Linked DNA regions of Lonchura striata. Each later gene encodes a partner of the first gene's protein in a complex. Links are inferred from orthologs where the notes say so. Each region holds a gene or a part of one and is shown on either strand. Other genes may lie near its edges.

Region 1 (3,745 bases):
TCTTGAGAGCTTGAGCAATGGGCTGACTCCAGCATACAAGGTGCTGCACAATTAACAAAAATATTCCCTACTTCCAGGAATGTGCTCTAGAAGAGACCTGGATATCCAGAGGGGTTTAGGGGGTGCAGACTCACAGATACTCCCTGAACATTGGCCCATGTCCGACTGAGGCAAAGCTCTGGTTGCCACATTAACCGCAGTGAGCAATAAGCATTAAACACTTAAAACTGCTCCCATGCACTACTGAGGAGTAGTGGGCCGAGTAGATAAGTAGCACATTGATACCAACTGGCCCATATTTCTGGGAATGCAGAAAGCTTGTTTGAAAAAGATTCTCCAAAGCTGTTATTTCTTGGTTCAGCTGCCTCTGTGTTGCATTATCTCATTCCTTCTGTTCTGGCTGTTGGCTCAGCCATGCCTGGCAACGGGGACTGTATCAGCCTGGCCTGAGCTGTGCAGGACCCGCCCGTGTGTGTCAGGGCAGGGGACGGCCCCGCTGGCTGGAGCAGAGCTGCTGCAAGGTGAATTCCGCTCCCAGCGCAGCTGCTGTGCCTGACGAGAGGTCATCCTTCCTCAGCTTGGCAAAGCGCCGTGCCTTGGACGTGTAGCAGCGGAAGATGTGCGGGCAGTTTTGGTGCCGCGTTCACTGCCAGGGCGGCGTGGAGGGCGAGCTCAGCGGGACAGGAGCGGCGAGGAGGGCGGGCTCAGCGGGACAGGAGCGGTCATGAGGGCGGGCTCAGCGGGACAGGAGCGGTCATGAGGGCGGGCTCAGCGGGACAGGAGCGGTCATGAGGGCGGGCTCAGCGGGACAGGAGCGGCGCTCTCCGCTGCCCCGGAGCCGCCTCTCTGCCCTGCGCATCCCCGGCACCGGGCGGGCCGCCCGCTCGCGGAAAAAACTACATCCCCCAGCGTGCACCGCGCCCGGCCGCTAGCACCGCGCCGCGCTATTGGCCGCCCCGCGGCCGCCGCCAATGGGGAGCGGGTATATTGGCAGGCGCTGCCAGGGCAGAGGCGCTGCTGGCAGCCGGTGCGGGAGAGGGGCGCGGCGAGGACGGGGCGACCCCGGGCGGCATGGGCGGCAGCGAGAGCAGCCAGAGCGGCAGGAGCGTGTCCTTCGGGCTGGATGAGCGGGAGCGCGTCCGGGTGCTGCAGGGCATCCGGGTGAGGCGCCCGGGGGTGTCGTGGGGCCGGGGGCGGAGGGAGCCGGGCTGCGCAGGGCTCCGGCCGGGCGGTGGGGGGAGCGAGGTGGAGCGCTGGAAGATGTGGGGGAGCAGGGACGAAGGGAGTGGAACCGGGAAGGCTGAAGGAGTGGGGGGTTGGAGAAGTGATGGGGAGAGTGGTGAGAAAGAGGGCTGGGGGCCTGGGCATGGCTGCTGTCGAGCTGGGGCACGCCAGCTCTTTATTTTCACTTCCAAGCTCTGCTCTCAGCCCTCGTTCCCTCCTCGCTGCTCGGTGACCTCGTTTGTGCCGCGCAAGCAGCGTGATGCTCCCAGCAGGAGACAGCTCTGCCCTTGCTCACGGTGCCCGGGCAGAGCACCGCTGTGTGAGCAGGGCGAGGCGAGAGCCTGCACACAGGGATGCTCCGGGAGGGACAGCGGGGAACTGCTTCTTCACCTTCGGTCGGAGACTGACAAGTGTGTGTTGTGGAAATAAGCCCTAGAGAGTGGTGGTGCTACCGTTAAGGAATAGTTTTTCCCGTTTATATATATATATATTTTTTTTTTTTTTTACATGTTAGTTTTGGGCTTTTTTTTTTATTACTACTATAATTTTCATTGCTCTTGCTTCATGATCCTTTTATATGATTTCTCCCTAAAATCTGCCAGAAATGAACTTTCAGAGTGTTGTTGTGGCTGCTTATTTTTCATCCCATTTTGACTAATTATTTGACAAAAGTTAGCTAAGATTGTGCCTATCTTGTTTGTAAATACTTGTTAAAGTATTTAATGGAGGTAAAATTGTCTTTGCCTATTTTATCTTTACAGGATATAGACAAGGATTTGTGTCTTTAAAATTAGGAATTGGGCATGATAATAATGTAAATTGATGGTACAAAAAATGCTATTAAGTTGGGTAGTAGTGGTATAGCTGAAAATATGTCTTCTACTGTGGCAAGCTAGGTGGGGAACAGCCTCATTTGGTTTTGTTCTGCAGCCAGACCCTCTGACCTTGGCAGGAGGAAGGGGTAAATTTTAACAGTGCTGTGAGAAGCCTTTTGGACTGAATTGCCAGAAAACTTTAAGTTAACTTTTCTTTCTTTTTCATGGGTTTGAACCCAAGTCAGGGGGTGAAAATGAAGTTGAGGTTGCAAAAGTGTTTGTAGCCTTATGTGGGTGGGAGGCTGTTGTCTGTCATGTGGGTTGCAGCATGGCTGCCATGCTGAGCTGGGTTAGCAAACATGGAGCAAGAAGAGGAAAAGATGGATTAAAACCTGCTTAATTCCTTTCCTTCCAATTCTGGTAAATTTTTCCCTATACAAGGAATTGACTTGTTTAGGGATGGTCTCCACCTTTGTTGGTGTTTGTGAATGATTGTCTAGTGAAGCTTTTAGGGTCAGGCAGTAGATTGGAGACTTTGTCACTTACTGATAGGGTATGGCTTTTAAAAATGTAAAGTCAACATGCAAGTGCTGACTGCGTGGACTGGAGGGAAATTGCAGTGAGGAAACTGAGAGCGCTTCTGTGCTATCATGGGAAGTAACAAACGGGGAGGCCTGCAGTGAAAAGCTGACTTGGCTGGTTCTGTGTTTCAGCTCACTGAAGATGTAGTGAACCGGATGAAAGGATCCTCTCAAAGTAGAAGGGACAACCAGAGATCTCCCCGTGCATCCAATGGCACAGCTCCATCCTCACTGGCTGCAGAAGGGAAACCCAGACCTACAGGTACTGCCTGTCACAGAGGGTGCTGGTGGTTTTCAGTGCTGCCCCGTTGTGAGAGGAGCTCTTTGGTTAGTCTGTATCACTCTGTGAGCATTTTTAGCATTTCAGATCAACGTGCAGTAAACAAGGCAGAAATATTTTGCTTTTAATTTCTGGCAAGCTGCCTTGTTGTCTGCTGTGCATATTGTGTATATTGTGCATGGGTGAGGGAAGTACTGCTTTTTATTCTATGGAAAGAAGCTCATAGGGAAAGATAACCTGTCTAAGCACAGCTGGCTGAGTGGATGATGACAACGTGGTTTGTGAACTTTGAACTTTAAACTTGGTTTGTGAAGTCTTTCTTTACATGTCAGAAAACAATTTGATTTCTATTGGTTCTCAAATAGACTTTGGTGATGTATATCAGCAGTGTGGATTTGTTTAAGGCATCCAGACAAAAATGACATTAGGGTTTGCTTTTAGGGTTTTGTTTGCTGTCAGCCTATGTCTTTTCTGAATGTATATCTAGCTTTATGGATGGCCTGAACTGCCAATTTCATCTTCACTTGTGGAATCCCTTTTAATTACAAGGAGAGAAGGAGGTCAAGAGGAAGACTTACTGGAACTAGAGGAAGGAAATGGAAAATAGGTCTACAATCATGCTCAGTGTATATACATTTCAGTATATATAAGGATTTCAGGAGTTAATATCCTCACATAGAAGTTTTCTGTAGCATGGTTTATTCAGTGTGCCTGTTTGAAAATGATGCTGTTGGTGTGTCTGTTTCATAAAATCAAACTCTATCCATCAAACTTAACTTTCTTGACCTTTCTTTTTTCTCTTGATGAGTAATATAAAAAATTATCCTAAAACAATTTATGATGCG
Region 2 (3,745 bases), on another chromosome or scaffold:
GCAATTATTCCACTCTGCAGGCTAAAACCAACCCAAATACAAATGGAAGTTCCACCAAAGTCTTTTATTGTAGCCCTTACACAGCCAAGCTGCCCTCCAGAGCGGTGGACTGAGAATCCTGTTCATTTCACAAGATCCTTCACGTATTTCCAGCCTTCCACTGTGTATTCACAGGCCCTGGTGGGAGCTACAGACAAGGCAGACATGACTCTGTGCACCCCTGCAAGCAAAGCAGAGAAGAATTACCCCAAGATCATCATTCAAGCCAAATTTCCCGATTTCCAACACCACCACTGTAAATCTCTTTAAACCCTGAGCATTTGTGACACAGAAATTCCAACTTCAGGGTCTGTACATGAGCTAAGACAATTACAGGACTGAGCTCAGTTCTTTGTTTAAGTCCTGTTTTATTTCTGGCCTTGCCACAGTTACAGTTCTGGACATGTCACAGTCATTTGTGGATTGTGTTTCCCCACAATTACATAAAGATTCTTTGCTACACCATAAAACCTGTGTATTACTAGGTATTTATAACAGGCTTTGGCATTCAAGCAAAAATGCCTAAAATTATAATAGCAATGGGAATGCTCATCCTTTCTGAAAAGCCAAAGACTGAGCTCAGAATCAGGTAGTGAGCAGTTATTTTACCTTTATTCCAGTAAGCAGAGAGGGAAAAGTCAATTTTTGGAGTGGGTGGGAGCTAGGAAAAAGAGAGAGAAAATATCAGCACTTGAGGGGTTTCACTTGGAATTCACATCACCTTGGCAAAACCTCTTGACCTCAGATCTCAAAAATACTTGTGTGCCTACTCTCCATAAGCCTCAAAAGTGACCAGACATGATGCTTAAAGTCTGGGCTTTGCTCTTTCCTGCAATATAAAGTAGGTGCAAAAGATAGAACATGTTATTTAGGTGCTCCTGAAAAATCATCTACTTGGGTGTCTCTGTTAGTTTATAATTGTTTGTAATATGAAGAATCTTTTCAAACTTTAAGCAAAGGTTTCTTATTTTCTGAGGATTTTAAAAACTAAGAGCTACTCATAGAGGAGGGGCCTCTTCAAGCAATTTAAATTCAACTTGAATTGTTAGCAATGTGAAAAAATGGGAGGATAATATTTTCATTGTTTTTCTTAAAAACAAGTAGGATCCTTCAGAAGAAAACTACATAGTGAAATACCTCCCAGAGCATGTTTGCAATTCCCCCCCTTGACCCTGCATAGGCTGCTTACCCCTCTCCTTTGAAATAACATCTGTGAGCAATGTCTCTGCCCCAAATTTAGCATTTTATTTGCCTTCCATTTCAATCCTCTTCAAAATATTTGCAATGTGAAATCCAGTTTCAGCAGTAAAACTCCTACCAGGCTCACCAGAATCAGAATATCACCCCTATATTTTCTCTTCCTGATTCAGAGATGTTTGTGTTGCAGGGATCACCCGAGCAGCCCTTACCTCCCAGCCCAGGTAATCTGTCCACTCTTGGATAGTTGGAGGCAGCGTTTCTTGAGCTTTTCTGAGTGCTTCAGCACCTTCTATGCCACTGCCCAGCAGCCCCTGGTCATGTGCTACGTACACAGCAGCTCCAGCCAGGCCTCCTTTGATCAGAAACCTGAAAGAATTGGAAGCAGAACAGTTCAGTTCATGTTCTGACCATCAGTGCATCTCTTTCAGTGGTTGTGACTGCCAAAGAGGGTATCAGGAAAGAAATCTCATGTCTTACTGGAGGTAAAAATCAGCAGAAAAATACCTACCTATGTTCCTTGCCTTCCCAGGACAACTACTGCCTGTCAGCCCCTTGAAACTACTTCTAATTCACATTTTATCAGTGTTGGTTTTCAATATAAAAATAAGAAAGTGTCAAGTTCCTCAAGAACATGTGCCACTTTTTAAAGCCTGAGAATCACTGGCATATTCCTCTGCTGAAAGCAATTAAAGAATTCTGCAGTGGGCGAGCCATCCATGTTAATAATGTGGTTCTTCTTGATAAATCTGATATTTATCTAATAAATCTGACAGATACCAAGATCTTATTATGCTCAGTGAACACCTGGCCATGGTGTTTGCATTGCCAAGGCTTTTAAAGTTTCCTGCATGATGTGCAGTTACCAGTTTTACTGCTGTGATGGCAACCTACAAAAGGGAAGACGGGAAGAGAGTATTTGGCATTTATTGGCATTTCCATTCTAAATAAGAGATCGGAGGTAAGTGACTTTCTCAGATACACAGAGGAATGTTTTCCCTTTAAAAAAAACAGCCAAAGTTATTGTACAACCCAAAACTTGGCAGACAGCGGTACTGCAGTAGTAGGACAGATACAATAGAGCTGACAAGAGCGAACCAATTTTTAAAGTCGTGTATTCACACGCATTTCGGGGAAAAGCGATCTTTCTGCTAAAAGGCACTGTTGGCTCCCAAGGATACCCTTCCGCACTTCCTGTGGGTGTACGAGCAGCTCCGAGCCCCGCGCTACTCCCGGGTTTTGTTACGCGTCCATGTCCGCCCACAGGGAGCTGCAGGGCCCTCCCGGCGTGTACGAACACACACGGGGAGCTGCGGGGGCAGGCGAGGCCAAGGGCGTGCAGCGAAGCCAGCAGAGCCACGGACAGGGCCGGCCGCGGGCCTGGGGACGGGCCGGGGACAGCGGTGAGCACTGAGGCGCGGGGAGCACGGGGGGAACGCCGTGCGGAGGGTGCGGGGGGGCCGAGCCGAGCCGGGCCGGGCCGGGCCGGGCCGGGAGGGTGGGCAGGGCCCGCGGGACTCACTTGACAACGGGCAGCAGGCGGGCGGCCATGGCGGCGGCGGCACCGGGACCGTCACGTGCGCGCGCGGCCCCGCCCGCGCCGCCGGCGTCAGGGGCGTGAGGGGACGGGCAGGGCTGAGGGCGTGAGGGGAGTGAGGGGAGTGAGGGGACGGGCAGGGCTGAGGGCGTGAGGGGACGGGCAGGGCTGAGGTTGTGAGGGGCGTGAGGGGACGGGCAGGGCTGAGGGGCGTGAGGGGAGTGAGGGGACGGGCAGGGCTGAGGGCGTGAGGGGACGGGCAGGGCTGAGGGGCGTGAGGGGAGTGAGGGGCGTGAGGGGACGGGCAGGGCGTGAGGGCGTGAGGGGACGGGCAGGGCTGAGGTTGTGAGGGGCGTGAGGGGACGGGCAGGGCTGAGGGGCGGGAGGGGAGTGAGGGGCGTGAGGGGACGGGCAGGGCTGAGGGCGAGAGGGGAGTGAGGGGACGGCAGGGCTGAGGGCGAGAGGGGAGTGGCAGGACTAAGGGCGTGAGGGGCGTGAGGGGACGGGCAGGACTTGAGGGGTGTGAGGGGCGTGAGGGGCGTGTGGGGTGTGAGGGGCCGGGCAGGGCTGAGGGCGTGAGGGGACGGGCAAGACTTGAGGGGTGTGAGGGGCCGGGCAGGGCTGAGGGGCGTGAGGGGACGGGCAGGGCTGAGGGCGGGAGGGGACGGGCAGGGCTGAGGGGCGTGAGGGGAGTGAGGGGACGGGCAGGGCTGAGGGCGAGAGGGGAGTGAGGGGACGGGCAGGGCTGAGGGGCGTGAGGGGAGTGAGGGGACGGGCAGGGCTGAGGGGCGTGTGGGGTGTGAGGGGCCGGGCAGGGCTGAGGGCGTGAGGGGACGGGCAAGACTTGAGGGGTGTGAGGGGGCCGGGCAGGGCAGAGGGTGTGAGGGGCCGGGCGCGGCTCCTGCGCCTTTGTGGCGCTGTCCCCGCCGCCCGTCTTGTCGCGCTGTGTCGCAGCGCGGTGGCGGAGCAGCT
Region 3 (3,745 bases), on another chromosome or scaffold:
AAGACAAGGATAATCTTTAATAGTGTTTCCTTAAACACTTTTCACATACTTCTGTTAGCCAGGACAAAAACAAACACTACTAACCATTAATAGCCGTAGAGTTTATTTCCTCAATCTTTCATTTTTTCACTGCAAAACTGTTATGTCACTGAAAAGGCAAAAATCTAAATGCATTTTCTCTTTGTAATATGTTTTCAAACAGTGTAAATGGTGCTAAGTGTCACAAGTATAAACAGTAAAACCAAATGTTTTAGATATTTGAGATTTTTATATAAAGACACAAATAGCACAGCACAAGACTGGAAGCACCTGGGTTTCACAAAACAGTATCAGTGACATAGGACTACTCAGACTGAAAAGTTAACTGTTTATATTATCAAGATACTGAAGTGCAGACATTTTCCATTGTTTTTAATTTTTAACAAAATGAAACTAACCTCTGAAAGTGCAAGTTGAATCTCTTCTTAAATGTGCTGTTCAAATCATACTTCAATGGTCTCCTACATCAGCTACCTCATGGGACAGGCAGAACTACTGCTGAAATACTGCATATTTGCATACACAGAACTACTTGGGAGTATGAAAGATCAGCTGCTGTACTTGTTTCCAAAATGCCCTGTAGGATCTCATTTTTGATTTCCATACTAACCATATATTACCAAAACAATTGCTTTAGTAAAACATTTGGACTGATTGAGCTGTGCCTTCAGCCTGCCAGTCCTATAGCCACTCAGTATCAGAAAAGCAGAGCTGACATTCTTTTCTATTGGCAATGCTCTGCAGTTATTTTAAGCAAAAAAGATACATTTACTCCTCTCTAGCTAAGAATTCAATTTTATCTTTAGGACTTGATAGGAAAAGCTTGAGCATACTTTTGAGAAGGCTGATACTGGTCCTAAAGTATGAAAACAGTTTTCCTCATCTTTTTCTATTCTTCCTCCTATTTCTCAGCCCAAACCATAAAAACATCAAACCAAAATCCAAATTCTTGAACATTCCTGTCCCTGAAGCAAAAGTATCCTGGACAAAAAGCTACCTTCCCTTTGGCTCTTAGAGGCATAACATCAGGTTGGCCTGAAGGACATAAATCCTCACTGGCTATGTAAAAGTACTAATACACTAATACAGATAGTGCCTAAATGCACAGGCTCACATATCAACCCTCCAATGACAATTCAGCATCAATTATGGAATCCTCAATGATTCTGTGCACAGAATTCCAGCATTAAAGGACATAAAGAAAAAGGAATTTATGACAAGAGCAGAGCAAGCAAGGGCTCAGCACATCAGTATCACAGACTCCGGAATTGTCAGGGTTGGAAGGGACCTCTGGAGATCATCTAGCGCAACCCCCTGCCAAGGCAGGGTCACCTGGAGCAGGTGACACAGGAACATGTGCTGGTAGGTGGGCTTTGGATGCCTCCAGAGAGACTCCACGACCTGGGCAGCTGTTCCAGTGCTCTGCCACCCTCAACATAAAGAAGTTCTTCCTCATGTTGAGATGTTATATATTACTATTTAGTATCCTCGGTATACTGGTATCTAGATATATTATCAATATTTCACACAGAAAATGGTACCAAGGAAAATGAATACCAAGAAGCGAGCATCACCAGGTTTTGGTGGTTTGGTGTTTTTTTTAAGCAAGCAGCCTAACAACGATCTGACTGGCACAGAGTTGCTTTTAGCCTGATGGGATCTGGGGCTGCTCTAACCACAGGCAGAAATCTCTGAGACAGCCAGAGCCGGACGGGGCTTTCCGCAGGTTTCGCTGGCAACCTTCAGGCACTAAAAGGAAACTTTTCAAGATCGAACCGACGCTTTCAAGCGACAGCTGCCCGGGCCCGAACCGAGCGGTGACAGAGCCCCGCGGTGCGGGCAGCCCCGTACGGAAGGGACGAATCTGCGCGGGGGGCACCCGGCAGCGGCTGTAAATCGGGAGTGTGCCCCTCTCCGTGCAACGCGAGGGCACGCGGTTCCGAAGCGCTAAGAGGAGCGGCTAAGCAGCTGCGAGGACAGCGGCAGTGAGAGCGGCGGAGAGGAGAGAGGCAGAGGGCGCGGGCGGAGCGCGGAGCCCCGAGCGCGGCCGGCGGCGGGCCCGGCCGGGGACCCCTCCTCACCTTGAACATGGCGGCGCCGGGCGCGCGGCGACGGGGCGACGGCGTCACCGCGGCGTGACGTCACGGGGCGGCCCCGCGCGCTGCCGCCGCCGCCCGGGCGGCGGAGGGGCTCCGGCCTTGGCGGGCTCCTGTGGGAGCAAAGCGCTTGCACGCTGATCCTCAGCCCCGCGGCACGGCTCCTGTGGGAGCCAAGCGCTTACACGGCCCAGCTCCTGTGGGAGCAAAGCGCTTACATGCTGGGCTGCACGGCTCCTGTGGGGGCAAAGCGCTTGCACGGCCCAGCTCCTGTGGGAGCAAAGCGCTTGCACGGTGATCCTCAGCCCCGCGGCACGGCTCCTGTGGGAGCAAAGCGCTTACACGGCCCAGCTCCTGTGGGAGCAAAGCGCTTACACGGCCCAGCTCCTGTGGGAGCAAAGCGCTTACACGCTGGGCTGCACGGCTCCTGTGGGGGCAAAGCGCTTACACGGCCCAGCTCCTGTGGGAGCAAAGCGCTTACACGCTGGGCTGCACGGCTCCTGTGGGAGCCAAGCGCTTGCACGGCCCAGCTCCTGTGGGAGCAAAGCGCTTGCACGCTGATCCTCAGCCCCGCCGCACGGCTCCTGTGGGAGCAAAGCGCTTGCACGCTGATCCTCAGCCCCGCCGCACGGCTCCCTGTGCTGCCCTGCAACCTTTGTGAGGAAGGCTCGGCCGTTCACAGAATCAGTCACAGGAATCAATGAGGTTGGAAAAGACCTCTGAGAGCGTCGAATCCAGCCTGTTACCAAACCCACGTCAGCTAGACCACGGCACCACCAGGCTGGTGGAGTCACCATCCCCGGACGTCTTCAAGAAACGCAGTTTCTTGAGAAAAGCTAATGGCACTGAGCGCCACGTCCAGCCTTTCCTTAAACCTCTCCAGGGTCGGTGACTCCGCCAGCAGTCCATTCCAATGTCTGCTCACCCTTTCTGTGAAGAAATTCTTGCTGAGTCCCACTAAAGGCTCTCCGGCGCGGCTCAGGTCTGTGTCCTCGTCCTGCCGCCGGCCGCAGAGCCGCGCTGGAGCGGGCAGTGCCGGGGCCCCCTCAGCCGGCCGGACACACACCGCTCCCTCAGCCGCTCCCCGCAGGACTCCCCACGCCCTTCACCGGCTCCCCTGCATTGCAAATGCCGGCCAACCCAATCGGAAGAAGTGACGATGTCTGACTCAATTCAGAAGGCTGAATGATTTCTTTATTATAACTATGCTAAAATACGTTAACATACTAGATAAAGGAAGATACTAAAACTATATACTACCTTCTCTTAATTCTCACAACTCCTAACCCTCTCTTTAGAGTGCAGACACAGGTGGATTGATCGGACATCAGGCTCAAACAATCCTCGCCAGAATCCAATCAAGCACTCACTTCAGGTAAACAATTCTCCAAACACATTCCACACAGGAAAACAAAGAGCAGAAATTGGTTTCTCTCTAACTGCTCTCTGTGCACCTCTATGAAAAATCCTGAGAGGGAGAGAAATACACTTGCCACATCAGTGTCCTCCTGGCTCACTGCCAGAATAATTCACATCGGTGAGCATGATTTAGTTTGGGGTAGAGTTAATTCTCTTCACAGTGGCTGGTAAGGGGCTGTGTATTGGATGAG

The links.
Region 2: CHCHD6 (region 1) and MICOS13 share a complex: the UniProt entries of both Homo sapiens proteins name them as parts of the mitochondrial contact site and cristae organizing system (MICOS) complex. The link is inferred for Lonchura striata from reciprocal best matches to the Homo sapiens genes CHCHD6 and MICOS13.
Region 3: CHCHD6 (region 1) and APOO share a complex: the UniProt entries of both Homo sapiens proteins name them as parts of the mitochondrial contact site and cristae organizing system (MICOS) complex. The link is inferred for Lonchura striata from reciprocal best matches to the Homo sapiens genes CHCHD6 and APOO.

The regions. Positions count from the first base shown.
Region 1 is NC_134614.1:13,514,363-13,518,107, forward strand, and holds the start of CHCHD6 (MICOS complex subunit MIC25), read left to right. Parts: upstream 1-974; 5' UTR 975-1,071; coding exon 1,072-1,161; intron 1,162-2,752; coding exon 2,753-2,882; intron 2,883-3,745. UniProt on the Homo sapiens protein: Component of the MICOS complex, a large protein complex of the mitochondrial inner membrane that plays crucial roles in the maintenance of crista junctions, inner membrane architecture, and formation of contact sites to the outer membrane.
Region 2 is NC_134630.1:4,053,860-4,057,604, forward strand, and holds the start of MICOS13 (MICOS complex subunit MIC13), read right to left. Parts: upstream 2,853-3,745; 5' UTR 2,788-2,852; coding exon 2,759-2,787; intron 1,606-2,758; coding exon 1,449-1,605; intron 701-1,448; coding exon 649-700; intron 221-648; coding exon 123-220; 3' UTR 1-122. UniProt on the Homo sapiens protein: Component of the MICOS complex, a large protein complex of the mitochondrial inner membrane that plays crucial roles in the maintenance of crista junctions, inner membrane architecture, and formation of contact sites to the outer membrane.
Region 3 is NC_134604.1:103,816,613-103,820,357, forward strand, and holds the start of APOO (MICOS complex subunit MIC26), read right to left. Parts: upstream 2,170-3,745; 5' UTR 2,130-2,169; coding exon 2,121-2,129; intron 1-2,120. UniProt on the Homo sapiens protein: Component of the MICOS complex, a large protein complex of the mitochondrial inner membrane that plays crucial roles in the maintenance of crista junctions, inner membrane architecture, and formation of contact sites to the outer membrane.